Macaca mulatta: one gene and its partners. The protein of the gene in region 1 purifies or fractionates together with the protein of each later gene. This does not show direct contact. Links are inferred from orthologs where the notes say so. Each region holds a gene or a part of one and is shown in the gene's direction. Other genes may lie near its edges.

What was found. The genes of interacting proteins can lie anywhere in the genome.
Region 2: the proteins of RNF7 (region 1) and RAB40B purify together in Homo sapiens (affinity purification with mass spectrometry; 3 studies listed by BioGRID and IntAct, with this or other methods). This does not show direct contact. The link is inferred for Macaca mulatta from reciprocal best matches to the Homo sapiens genes RNF7 and RAB40B.
Region 3: the proteins of RNF7 (region 1) and RAB40C purify together in Homo sapiens (co-immunoprecipitation; 4 studies listed by BioGRID and IntAct, with this or other methods). This does not show direct contact. The link is inferred for Macaca mulatta from reciprocal best matches to the Homo sapiens genes RNF7 and RAB40C.

The regions. Positions count from the first base shown.
Region 1 is NC_133407.1:44,728,250-44,732,325, forward strand, and holds the start of RNF7 (RING-box protein 2), read left to right. Parts: upstream 1-1,276; 5' UTR 1,277-1,409; coding exon 1,410-1,584; intron 1,585-4,076. UniProt on the Homo sapiens protein: Catalytic component of multiple cullin-5-RING E3 ubiquitin-protein ligase complexes (ECS complexes), which mediate the ubiquitination and subsequent proteasomal degradation of target proteins.
Region 2 is NC_133421.1:92,410,318-92,413,817, reverse strand, and holds part of RAB40B (ras-related protein Rab-40B), read left to right. Parts: intron 1-648; exon of another isoform or gene 649-692; 5' UTR 693-750; coding exon 751-892; intron 893-3,500. UniProt on the Homo sapiens protein: RAB40B small GTPase acts as substrate-recognition components of the ECS(RAB40B) E3 ubiquitin ligase complex which mediates the ubiquitination of target proteins.
Region 3 is NC_133425.1:1,839,365-1,841,762, forward strand, and holds part of RAB40C (ras-related protein Rab-40C), read left to right. Parts: intron 1-371; coding exon 372-449; intron 450-823; coding exon 824-1,046; intron 1,047-2,381; coding exon 2,382-2,398. UniProt on the Homo sapiens protein: RAB40C small GTPase acts as substrate-recognition component of the ECS(RAB40C) E3 ubiquitin ligase complex which mediates the ubiquitination and subsequent proteasomal degradation of target proteins.

The DNA.
Region 1 (4,076 bases):
TTCTATAGATTAATGCATTCTTGTTTCCCCTGCCAGGTTCCATTGGCCTGGTTACCTTTTGCCCAGGTATCAGGAGATGAGGGGATGGCGAGAGGCTCAGAATCCAAACTTGACAGAGTAGGTGTCCACCACTAGGTGACGGTGGGATCAGGCATCTCCTTAGGCTGTCTGTGCTTCTGCTTTCTTTTCAGTGGAGATGCCTGCTTTCTTGGAAACACATGTGATGGTGGGCTAGCAGTAGAAGCACTACTGTAATAACAATGTGATCTTTGTCATTTCACTTCTTCGGACCTCATTAGTCCTACATATAAAAAGAGGAAGTTAAACTAGCTCAAATGTACTGAGCAGAAGGAATGGAGACTCTGCAGATGAGGAAGCAGGGCCTGAAAAATACGTGTGGGTTGTGTCGCCACACACCGGGACTCCTGGGATCCTGACCTCTTTTAGGGGTCAAAAGAGGGCAAACTAGTTGCCTAACAATATTTAGAGCTATTTCTCTCTTTTCACTCTCATTCTACGAGTGTACACGGGAGTTTCTAGAAATTACATGGTATGTGAAGTTATCCCTCTAATGATAACCTCTAATGAGGTTATTACTGTGATTTTTAATGAATACATTTAAAAATATGTTTTAATTTCTTAAAAAGAAACATTAATCTCTATGTACGTGTGTATACATATACAGGAAATGTATGAATATTCATTATACATGAATGTACATATATTCATTGTATATATGTATATATATTCATACATATGTGTGTGTGTATATATATATTTATACATTTCCTACATAAATAAAAGCTCTTTAAGGGACTAATAATTTTTAAGTGAAAAGGAGTCCTGAGACCAAAAAGTCTGAGAATCACTGAGCCAGATTTCTAGATCTTTAAGATCATTAATTCACTCAAGAAATAATTGTGCCTCTTGTGGCCAGGCATTTTGTAGATACCGAGGACAATGTGGTGATAAGAACATATTCCCTGCTCTGATAGAGTTTTACACTTGGGAGGGAAAAGACAAACAAGTAAATTAACAAGATTATTTCTGAGAGCAGTAGTTTTAATGAAGCCATAAAGCAGGACACACATTCCAGCACAATCTGTGCGCCTGCTCAGACGTAACACCCCGCAGCGCGGCAGGCGGATTCGGCAGCGTAGCCCCGAGAAGCCCCAAGCCCGCTCGGTCGCCCCAGGAGGGCGGGGGCGGGGCCTGCCTGCCCCCCCGCCGCTGGCGTCCGGTGACGTCACTGGGCCGCGCCAGCCAATCGTGGGTGGCCGGGGTCTGGGCACCACGGTGGCCTGCGGCCTGCGGGCGGCGCTGTGGCCCGTCGGGCGGCCCGGCAGAGCCGCCCTAGCCTCCCGCCTACCCCAAGCCAACGTCTCCGCCGTCGGCTCCGCGGCGCCGCCATGGCCGACGTGGAAGACGGAGAGGAAACCTGCGCCCTGGCGTCTCACTCCGGGAGCTCAGGCTCCAAGTCGGGAGGCGACAAGATGTTCTCCCTCAAGAAGTGGAACGCGGTGGCCATGTGGAGCTGGGACGTTGAGTGCGATACGTGCGCCATCTGCAGGGTCCAGGTGATGGGTAAGCGCTGCACGCAAGGCCGGGGCCGCGCTGCGGCCTCCGGGAGCCGACTTCGGGATTGGGACTGGACGGGCGCCCGCCAGAAGCCTTGGAAAGTCCCCTGCCTTGGGGAGTGGGTGGAGGTCGCCCTGCCCGGGCGCCGGAGGAACGCGGAGCCACGATCCTGTTGCGGCTCCTGAGGGCTGAGGGGTTGTGCAACAGGCGCCCGGCGCCGGGTGGTTGGTGTTCTAGGGAGAGAAATGGGCAATAAACGGAGGTAAACAAGGTAATTTCAGGTAGTGATGGGTGTGACCAGGAAAATAAAACCGGGTGATTGTTGGGAACTAGCAGGAAACACTTCGGTTTGTGTGGCCAGCCCCTGTTCTAAAAGCTCATCGCAAGGTGGACAGAGTAAAGGCCGTGATTCAGCAGTGAACTTTAATAGTCTTGGTCACCATCAAAGTGATGCTCCGGAGTCATCTTCCACAAAACGACACCCTTAGTTCTCCTCGAGGTACACAGGAAAGTGTTCACAGCCATTGCATTTCCGGATTAGCTTACCGCCGCTCTTCGAATGGCTTTTAAATCTGGATTGATCTAAGACGGGTCAGATAGCACTAGCGTGGCTTGAAGGGGACAGTGTGATTCAAGAATATCTAAGTTTCATGGAAGCCGAAGAATTGTAAGCCCTTTTTTCAGAAATGTAGAACTTCACCTCCATTACACCCCCCTCTCCATATCGGATGTCATTTCCTGGAGAAGATACTGCCCTGCTCTGAGTCATGCCTTTGTGGAGAACCCTCTTACAAATATGTCCTCTTTCTGTGATATTTGGAGTTAAAATATTAGACCAAGCAAAATGTTTCAGAACAGCTTACTCTTGTTATATTTTATATGGTTCTAAGATCTCAGACCACTTTGAAAAGCAAGTGCTGTTTAAATGCAAGTTGTATTTTCAGATAGGGCATTTAAAATTACTGTGAGAGCATCTTCAGTGGAGTTCTTTATTGAGGGTAGTTAAAGAAAACAGACATTTCTGTAGTTTGAAAACTGACTTGTCTTGAAAAATGAGAGAATTGGAGAACATAAAGAGAATTGCTGTCCTTGAGGGGGGATGAGACTTTAAACCTACCAGAATCAAGAGATTTCTCAATTTATGCTCTTTTGTCTTTTATTCTAAGGGCTTGTTTCAAAGAGGATTTACAACAATTGGATTCAGATATTTTTACCTTTTACTTTTGAAAGACCTTGTTATTAGACATGACCCACTTATTTTATATGGATCACTTGAGCCCAAGAGTTTGAGACCTGCCTAGGCAACATCGCAAGACCCTATCTCTACAATTAAAAATTAAAATAAAGTGACCAGGCATGGTGGCCTCCAGCTACTCAGGAGGCTGAGGTGGGAGGATCCCTTGAGCCCAGGAGGTCGAGGCTACAGTGAGCCTTTTTCCTGCCACTGCCACGATACTCTAGCTTGGGTGACAGAATGAGACCCTGTCTCAAAAACAAACAAACAAAACATATTAGGCTTTAAAAGTATCTAGTTTATTTGCCAGCAGTACAGCTGCCCCTACCCTCACTTAGGAATCATAGTTTCCAGTTTGGGAAGCATTTTTTAACTGATCCAAGAGACTTTTTTTTTTTTTTTTTTTTTTTTTTTGCAATACAAGTTTTGCTAAACATTTTATCTCCTAAATAAATTCCTTTAGTTTAAAGGAAACTAAACTTTCACTTAGTTCCTTTTCAGTTTAAAAATAATGTTCCCAAAGGGTATTTTCAAAAGATTTCTCTCCCAAAAAGCTATTTCCTCCCCGAAGGAAAAACATTTAAGCAGTAAGTGGAAATGTATAACCTGAAATAATGATTGAAACTTTGCAACAAATAAACTTTACTGAGATATTTTAATGTAGGTCAAAGTATAGGCTATAAATGACACATTTCATCATAAACTTTCTAATTATAGCAAGTATTCTGCTACTACAGGATCAGTCTTGCATATTTGCAAACAGCTGTACTTTGGGTTCAGGAAAGTATTCTAGGCTAGACCTTTGTATTTTGTTTATGAGGTGTTAAAACCCACTTAGAGGTCAGGTGACAGCAGAAGGAAACTTTTTTTCCAGACTTCCTAGTCTTTACCCTAGCACCCTTCTAAAAGGTGTTATTGTACTCCTTAGAAATGTGCTGTTTTAGATTCTAGGAAGATCATTAAAGCAAATTTTTATCTTTTATCTGCAACTTTAGGAATTTGTGTAGATTTGGGTCAGTTTTGATAATCTACATTAGAGCTATAAGCGTAATTTAGAGATTCCTAGATTCAGCAACAAGAACCCACTTTGTTCCCTTTCCTTAGTATTTGGAATTTATCTCACACTTGTGATTTATTATACTTTCTGCTCCCAAGATTTGCCCGTCAGCCCATTCTGATATGGATAACACTCTCATCTTCGTTTCCACTATCCTCCCTTCATTCAGAAAAGAGTGATGATTGCATAGTGAGCAAAGTGCTGATG
Region 2 (3,500 bases), on another chromosome or scaffold:
GTACACAGGCGCATGTGCACACACAGGCATTCAGGCACGCCGCGTAAATGGGGCAAGGACGAGGCCCTGGATGAACTGTGGGGAGAGACCGCGAGCCTGGATTCTACGGCGACAGGGACTCTTGCGGCGAGGCGGCCTGCGGGGGCCCTTCCGGCCGCGTCCGCGAACTGGACCGACCCCCTAAGCCCCACCCGGCCCGGCACCGGAGGTCTCCCTGGTGGGCAGGTGTGGAGGCCCCACGCCGGGACCCAGCACGGCCCCACGCCCCGCCCGACTCGGTGCGTGCAGACCCGACGGCGTGGGAGCGAGTTCGCGGCGCTGACAGGCGCACGCGAGAGTGTAAACACTCGGCCCCACCCCCTACTCGCCCCCGCCCCGCCTCGCCATTGGCTGCGGGAGCAGAGTCCCCGCCTCCTGCTTGTTCTGGCTCCGCCCCTGCTCCGTCTCCGGGCCTCCATTGGCCGCGGCGACAGCGTCCTTCCAGGAGGGGCGGTTGGGCTTCAGCCCGGAGGCGGCGACGAGAGTAAGATGGACGGACAACCACACCAATGAAAATGCGCAGCCGCCCTAGCAACTGCGGTCCACCAATGGCGGGGCCGGGCGGGGCTGCGCGCTGTCAGCGCTGGGCGGCGGGGCGGGGCCGGCTGCAAGCAAGGACTCGGGGCCCGCGCGGCGCCTCTCGGGGCCCGGCCGCCGCCTCTGCGCGCAGCCCCGCAGGCCGGGCATGGGTTGGGGCGCCGGGCCGGCACGATGAGCGCGCTGGGCAGCCCGGTCCGGGCCTACGACTTCCTGCTCAAGTTCCTGCTGGTGGGCGACAGCGACGTGGGCAAGGGCGAGATCCTGGCGAGCCTGCAGGACGGCGCGGCCGAGTCCCCGTACGGCCACCCGGCGGGTGAGCGCGGGCGGAGGGCGCGCCTGGGTGCGGGCGTGGGTCCGGGGAGGGGCGCGGGGCTGGGAGGGGGTGCGGGTGGGAGTCCGGGTTCGGAGGCACGAGGCCGGGGAGGGGTCGGGAAGAGGCGGGGGCGCGGGCCCGGGGAGGGTGGGAGTCCGGGTCCGGGGGCGCGCGGCTGAGGAGGAGCGCGGTTCGCCTTTCTCCGCCCGGCCTGGCCCTCGTGCGGCGGCGTCCCTGTTACACCCGGCACCCCCGTTCCGCTCGAGGCCCCCGCGGCGCAGTCTCCATCCTTCTCCGCAGTCTGCGCGCAGCGGGAGCCCGCGGCTGGGCCGGTCGCTGTGCCCCTCCCGACCTGGGGCCGCCTCCGCGGGGACCCGGGGAGGACTCGGGTCCGCACGTGCGCGTTCGGCCGCGGGGGCGGGAGGGGCGGGAGGGGACGCGAGCTCCGGGGCGCCTGGGGCGGAGCGCGGCGAGCAGGCTCCCAGGTGCTGGGTCTGCGCGTGGATCGGAGGGGAGGGGAGACCAGGGTCCGGTCCCGAGGCCAGGGGTCCCGCGTGTCCGGGGGAGAGGAAGGAGCGCAGGTGACTCGCGTGCGGAAGAGGGGACCCCCCACGACAGCGGCCGGAGAGGGGGTTCCAGGGCGAGGGGAGGCCGCAGCGCACAGAGCTCCCAGGCAGACAGCCCGGGGATCCCCGAAGTTTGAGGCTTGAAAGCCGGCGCCCGGCGAGGGGGTGGACGGCTCCGGGGAAAGAAAGGCGGAGGCAGGAACCAGGAGAAGGGGGAATGCGCAGAGGCGGACACCTCGGCCGGGAGTGAGGAGCAGGCGGGGCCTTCACCCACCCGCGTCCCTGGAACCGCGCGGACGAGGCCGACCCTGCGGCTGTGGACGGAGCCCCGCTGTGCCCACCTGCCTGCCACGCCTCGGGGCTGAACCCACACTTCCAACAGAGACCCCCGCTCTGGGTCCTGGGCGGAGGAGGGGAGCCGAGGCTTGGAGATGGAGTCTTGGTGGGAAGGTCCTGTCAGCTCTGGGGCCTGGGAAGGGTCCTGCCAGAGACGAGCTTTGCCAGAGCGGGTGGGAGGAAGCGGGATCTGAGGCTGCAGAGTAGAGGGTGCAGGCCGTCTCCTACGGGCAGCTCCAGGCAGGCTGCATGAGGACCAAGGGAGGTGAGCGTGGCACGGCTGGAGGGGGTGGCCTGAGACTGTGGAGCGTGGGGTGAGACTCAGGTGCCCGGCCACGCCTCAGCTTAGGGAAGGGGGTGAAGAGTTTGGGGGAGCAGCTGAGATGGGCTTGGGCTCACGACCAACACCCGGAGGCTTCCTTAAACTGCAGCACGCCGGGGAGTCTCTCGCAGCCGACGGGTGCAGAGTGTGCTCCGTGGGGCAGGAGGGGAGTCTGCGTCTTTACCTGTCCCCACCCCACTCCCCGCTCAGCGGCAGGTCTCTAGGACCGTGGTGTCCAGTCACATGCCATGAGCCACGTGTGGCTGTGGAAGTGTCATTATAAGGAAACAAAACAAAAAGCTTCCATTAGTCACATTTCTAGATAGTTCGGATGTCGCTGTGGCAAAGTCTGGGGGCCAGCGCTGCCCTGGAGATTGAGCGCCTGGAGGACGGGGCTTTGTCTGCACGGTGCCCTCGGGGTCTGGGCTCAGTGAGGGATGAACCCTACCAGAGCTAGAGGAATAGAGCACCCGACAACGTGTAGCCCAGACGAATGTGGCCCTGTAAGAGCTGTGCGTGTTTTGGGGGAGCAGACGGTTGACGGTGTTGAGTTTGATTGAAGGTGAGTGCCATGGGGCATGCGTGAGGAGAGCCACGCACAGAATGTTTGTGAAACTTCCTTCTGGTTGGTTTGAACGACGGCTCAGGGATGCTTCTGCTGCATGACTTTTGGTTGCTACATGCTGAACTGAAGACGACCCAAAACAACGGACCAATGCTTTCTCCTAAATGCTTTCCCTTGACAGGGAGAGAGGGTTTAGGCTAAAAATACAACCTCCCACCGGGCCGGGTGCGGTGGCTCACACCTGTAATCCCAGCACTTTGGGAGGCCAAGGCGGGCGGATCACCTGAGGTCAGGAGTTTGAGACCAGCCTGACCAACATGGAGAAACCCCCGTCTATACTAAAAATACAAAATTAGCCGAGCATGGTGTCACATGCCTGTAATCCCAGCTACTCGGGAGGCTGAGGCAGGAGAATCGCTTGAACCTAGGAGGCAGAAGTTGCAGTGAGCCGAGATCGCACCATTGCACTCCAGCCTGGGCAACAGAGCGAAACTCTATCTAAAAAAAAAAAAAAAGACGCCTCCCACCAAAAGCTTTGTTGTCAACCTGGCCTGAGCTGCTGTAGAAAAAACTGCTATCGTGGGTGTACCCTTGCAGGTTTTTTATTTACCAAACATTTGTTTTAGGGTTAAGAAAAGTTACTCTGAAAAATAGTAAGAAGTTGAGATCATTATGATTTGTTTTTAATTTTTTCAGAGACAGGGTCTTCTCTGCTGCCTGGGCTGAAGGCAGTGGTGAGGATTGCAGATCACTGCAGCCTTGACCTCCCTGGGATCAAGCCATCCTCCTGTCTTGGCCTCCCTAAATGCTGGGATTATA
Region 3 (2,398 bases), on another chromosome or scaffold:
AGGGTTCACCGATGGACTGGCCGAGAGGACACTTGCTTCCACAGCTGCACGTCCCCCGGCTGCCAGGACCCCTCATCTGCCTGCCCAGGAAGCTTCCACAGGCTGATGGCTCCAGGGGAGGGAGGGGAGGCAGCATTTATGACACCATGGAAGGCACCCACCCTCCTGCTGCAGTCCTTGCCGGGTGAGGGCAGAGGTGGGGGGCAGGGCTGCACCAGCTGTATGAAGGGCAGCGCCCATCTGCCCGTCCGCCAAGTACTAAGTATCCTTGGCCCTGCCCAGGAACCGAGACCCCTGCACCTGAGAGTCCCTGGGCCTGGGCTGGCCGTGCGTGTCGGTGACCCCTGGTGACCCCCAAGTCTCTGTTGCAGGGGATCCTTCTGGTGTATGACATCACCAACCGCTGGTCCTTTGACGGCATCGACCGCTGGATCAAGGAGATCGATGAGGTAGGCCTGGGTCCGGGGAGCCCTCCCGGGGAAGGCAGACTGGATGGAGGTGCCTGGGCCCCAGGTAGGCTCTGGATTCCCGCCTGCCACCCCTCCTGTGGCCCTGGCTCTGCACCCTGCACTGTCCCATGGCCTACACCTGGGCGTGCTGGTCACTGTGCACGCAACGGCCAGGCATGGAGCCCGGCAAGACCAGGAGCTACGGGGCCACCTGGAAGGGCCTACACTGTGGGGCCTGAGCCCTGGGCTCTGCCCACCTCGACCTCCCACGGCCCCCACCCCGTCATAGGCCAGACAGTGAGGGCGGGCCCTGCTGCGGCTGAGGGGTGGGTGGCGCCCTGCGTTTGTGCTTCTGCTGAGTTCTGTGCCCCCAGCACGCACCCGGAGTGCCCCGGATCTTGGTTGGAAACCGGCTGCACCTGGCCTTCAAGCGGCAGGTCCCGACGGAGCAGGCCCGCGCGTATGCAGAGAAGAACTGCATGACCTTCTTTGAGGTCAGCCCCCTGTGCAACTTCAATGTCATCGAGTCCTTCACGGAGCTGTCCCGCATCGTGCTCATGCGGCATGGCATGGAGAAGATCTGGAGGCCCAACCGAGGTGCGTGGGCGGGTGCCCGCCAGCCCTGTGGTCCCCAAACCCGGGCTGCCCTGATCACGTGGAGGCTGAGGGGGGCCGGGGGCCAGTGAGGAAGGTTCAGGCAGGTCCCTTGGCCATGTGCAGTAGGGGCTCAGCCGGCAGCAGGCCAGTGACTTGGTAAGAGTAGCCTCGGGGGAGAGGCAGCAGCACCGGGGGGCACAGGAGGAGCTGGTGACCTCCCTCAGGGTGCCGCCGTGGCAGCTGCACTCTGCCATTCCTGTGGGTCCCCGGCATTGCTGGTGTGGCAGTGTGTTCTCACTCCTTCCCTGGTTCTGGGGCTGGCATCCTGCTGTCGGGGGCACAGGAGCCATGCCTGCAGCTTCATGTTGTTTCATTTTCTCTTCCTGGGAGGCCACGTCCTTGATCAGAGGTCCCAGTGGAGCCCCCTCAGGAAGGTACTGTTGATTATCTGGTGCCTCCCGGCAGGGTTCACCACTGGACAGAGAGAGGGTGGCTGACGGTGTCACTGTCCTTCTTAAGAGGAAGCACGGGCCAGGCGCGGTGGCTCATGCCTATAATCCCAGCACTTTGGGAGGCCGTGGCAGGTGGATCACCTGAGGTCAGGAGTTCGAGACCAGCCTGGCCAACACGGTGAAGCCCCGTCTCTACTAAAAATACAAAAATTAACTGGGCGCAGTGGCGGGCGCCTGTAATCCCAGACACTCAGGAGGCTGAGGCAGGAGAATTGCTTGAACCCGGGAGGAGGAGGTTGCGGTGAGCGGAGATCGCGCCACTGCACTCGAGCCTGGGCAACACGGCAAGACTCCGTCTCAAAACAAAACAAAACAAAAAAAACCATAAAGCAAGCACAGGGAGCTGTGAAGAGCCTGGTTGTACCCCAGGTCAGCATAACCCAGCCCCCACCCGTATGGAGCTCCTCTCCCCAGCTCTGCAGACTGGAGCTGGTGACAGTCAAGCTAGATTGAGTCAAAACCCAACCAGAGATACAGCAGAGGCTCCAGAGCAGGTCGGCTCGAAGGGCCAGATCACGCAGCCCTCACGCTGGGAGCTGCAGCGTCCAGGCCAGGAGCTGGGCAGAGTGGCCTCGGGAAGCCCCACAGCAGCACTGCCCAGTGTGCCTGGCTTTAGGGAGCAAGGCAGGGGATGGCGTGGCAGTGGACACATCTGTGCTGGGCAGAGGAGTTTGGGCATCCAGGTCCTCCAGGATCCCAGTCCAGGGGACACCACTAGGAGTGTGGAGACCCTGCCGGGCTTCTCTTGGGCACCTCAGGTCTCCCTGCGCAGGGCCGGGCCTCCCCCACAGCCCCATGGTCTGACACCCCCTCTGCCCTGCAGTGTTCAGCCTGCAGGAC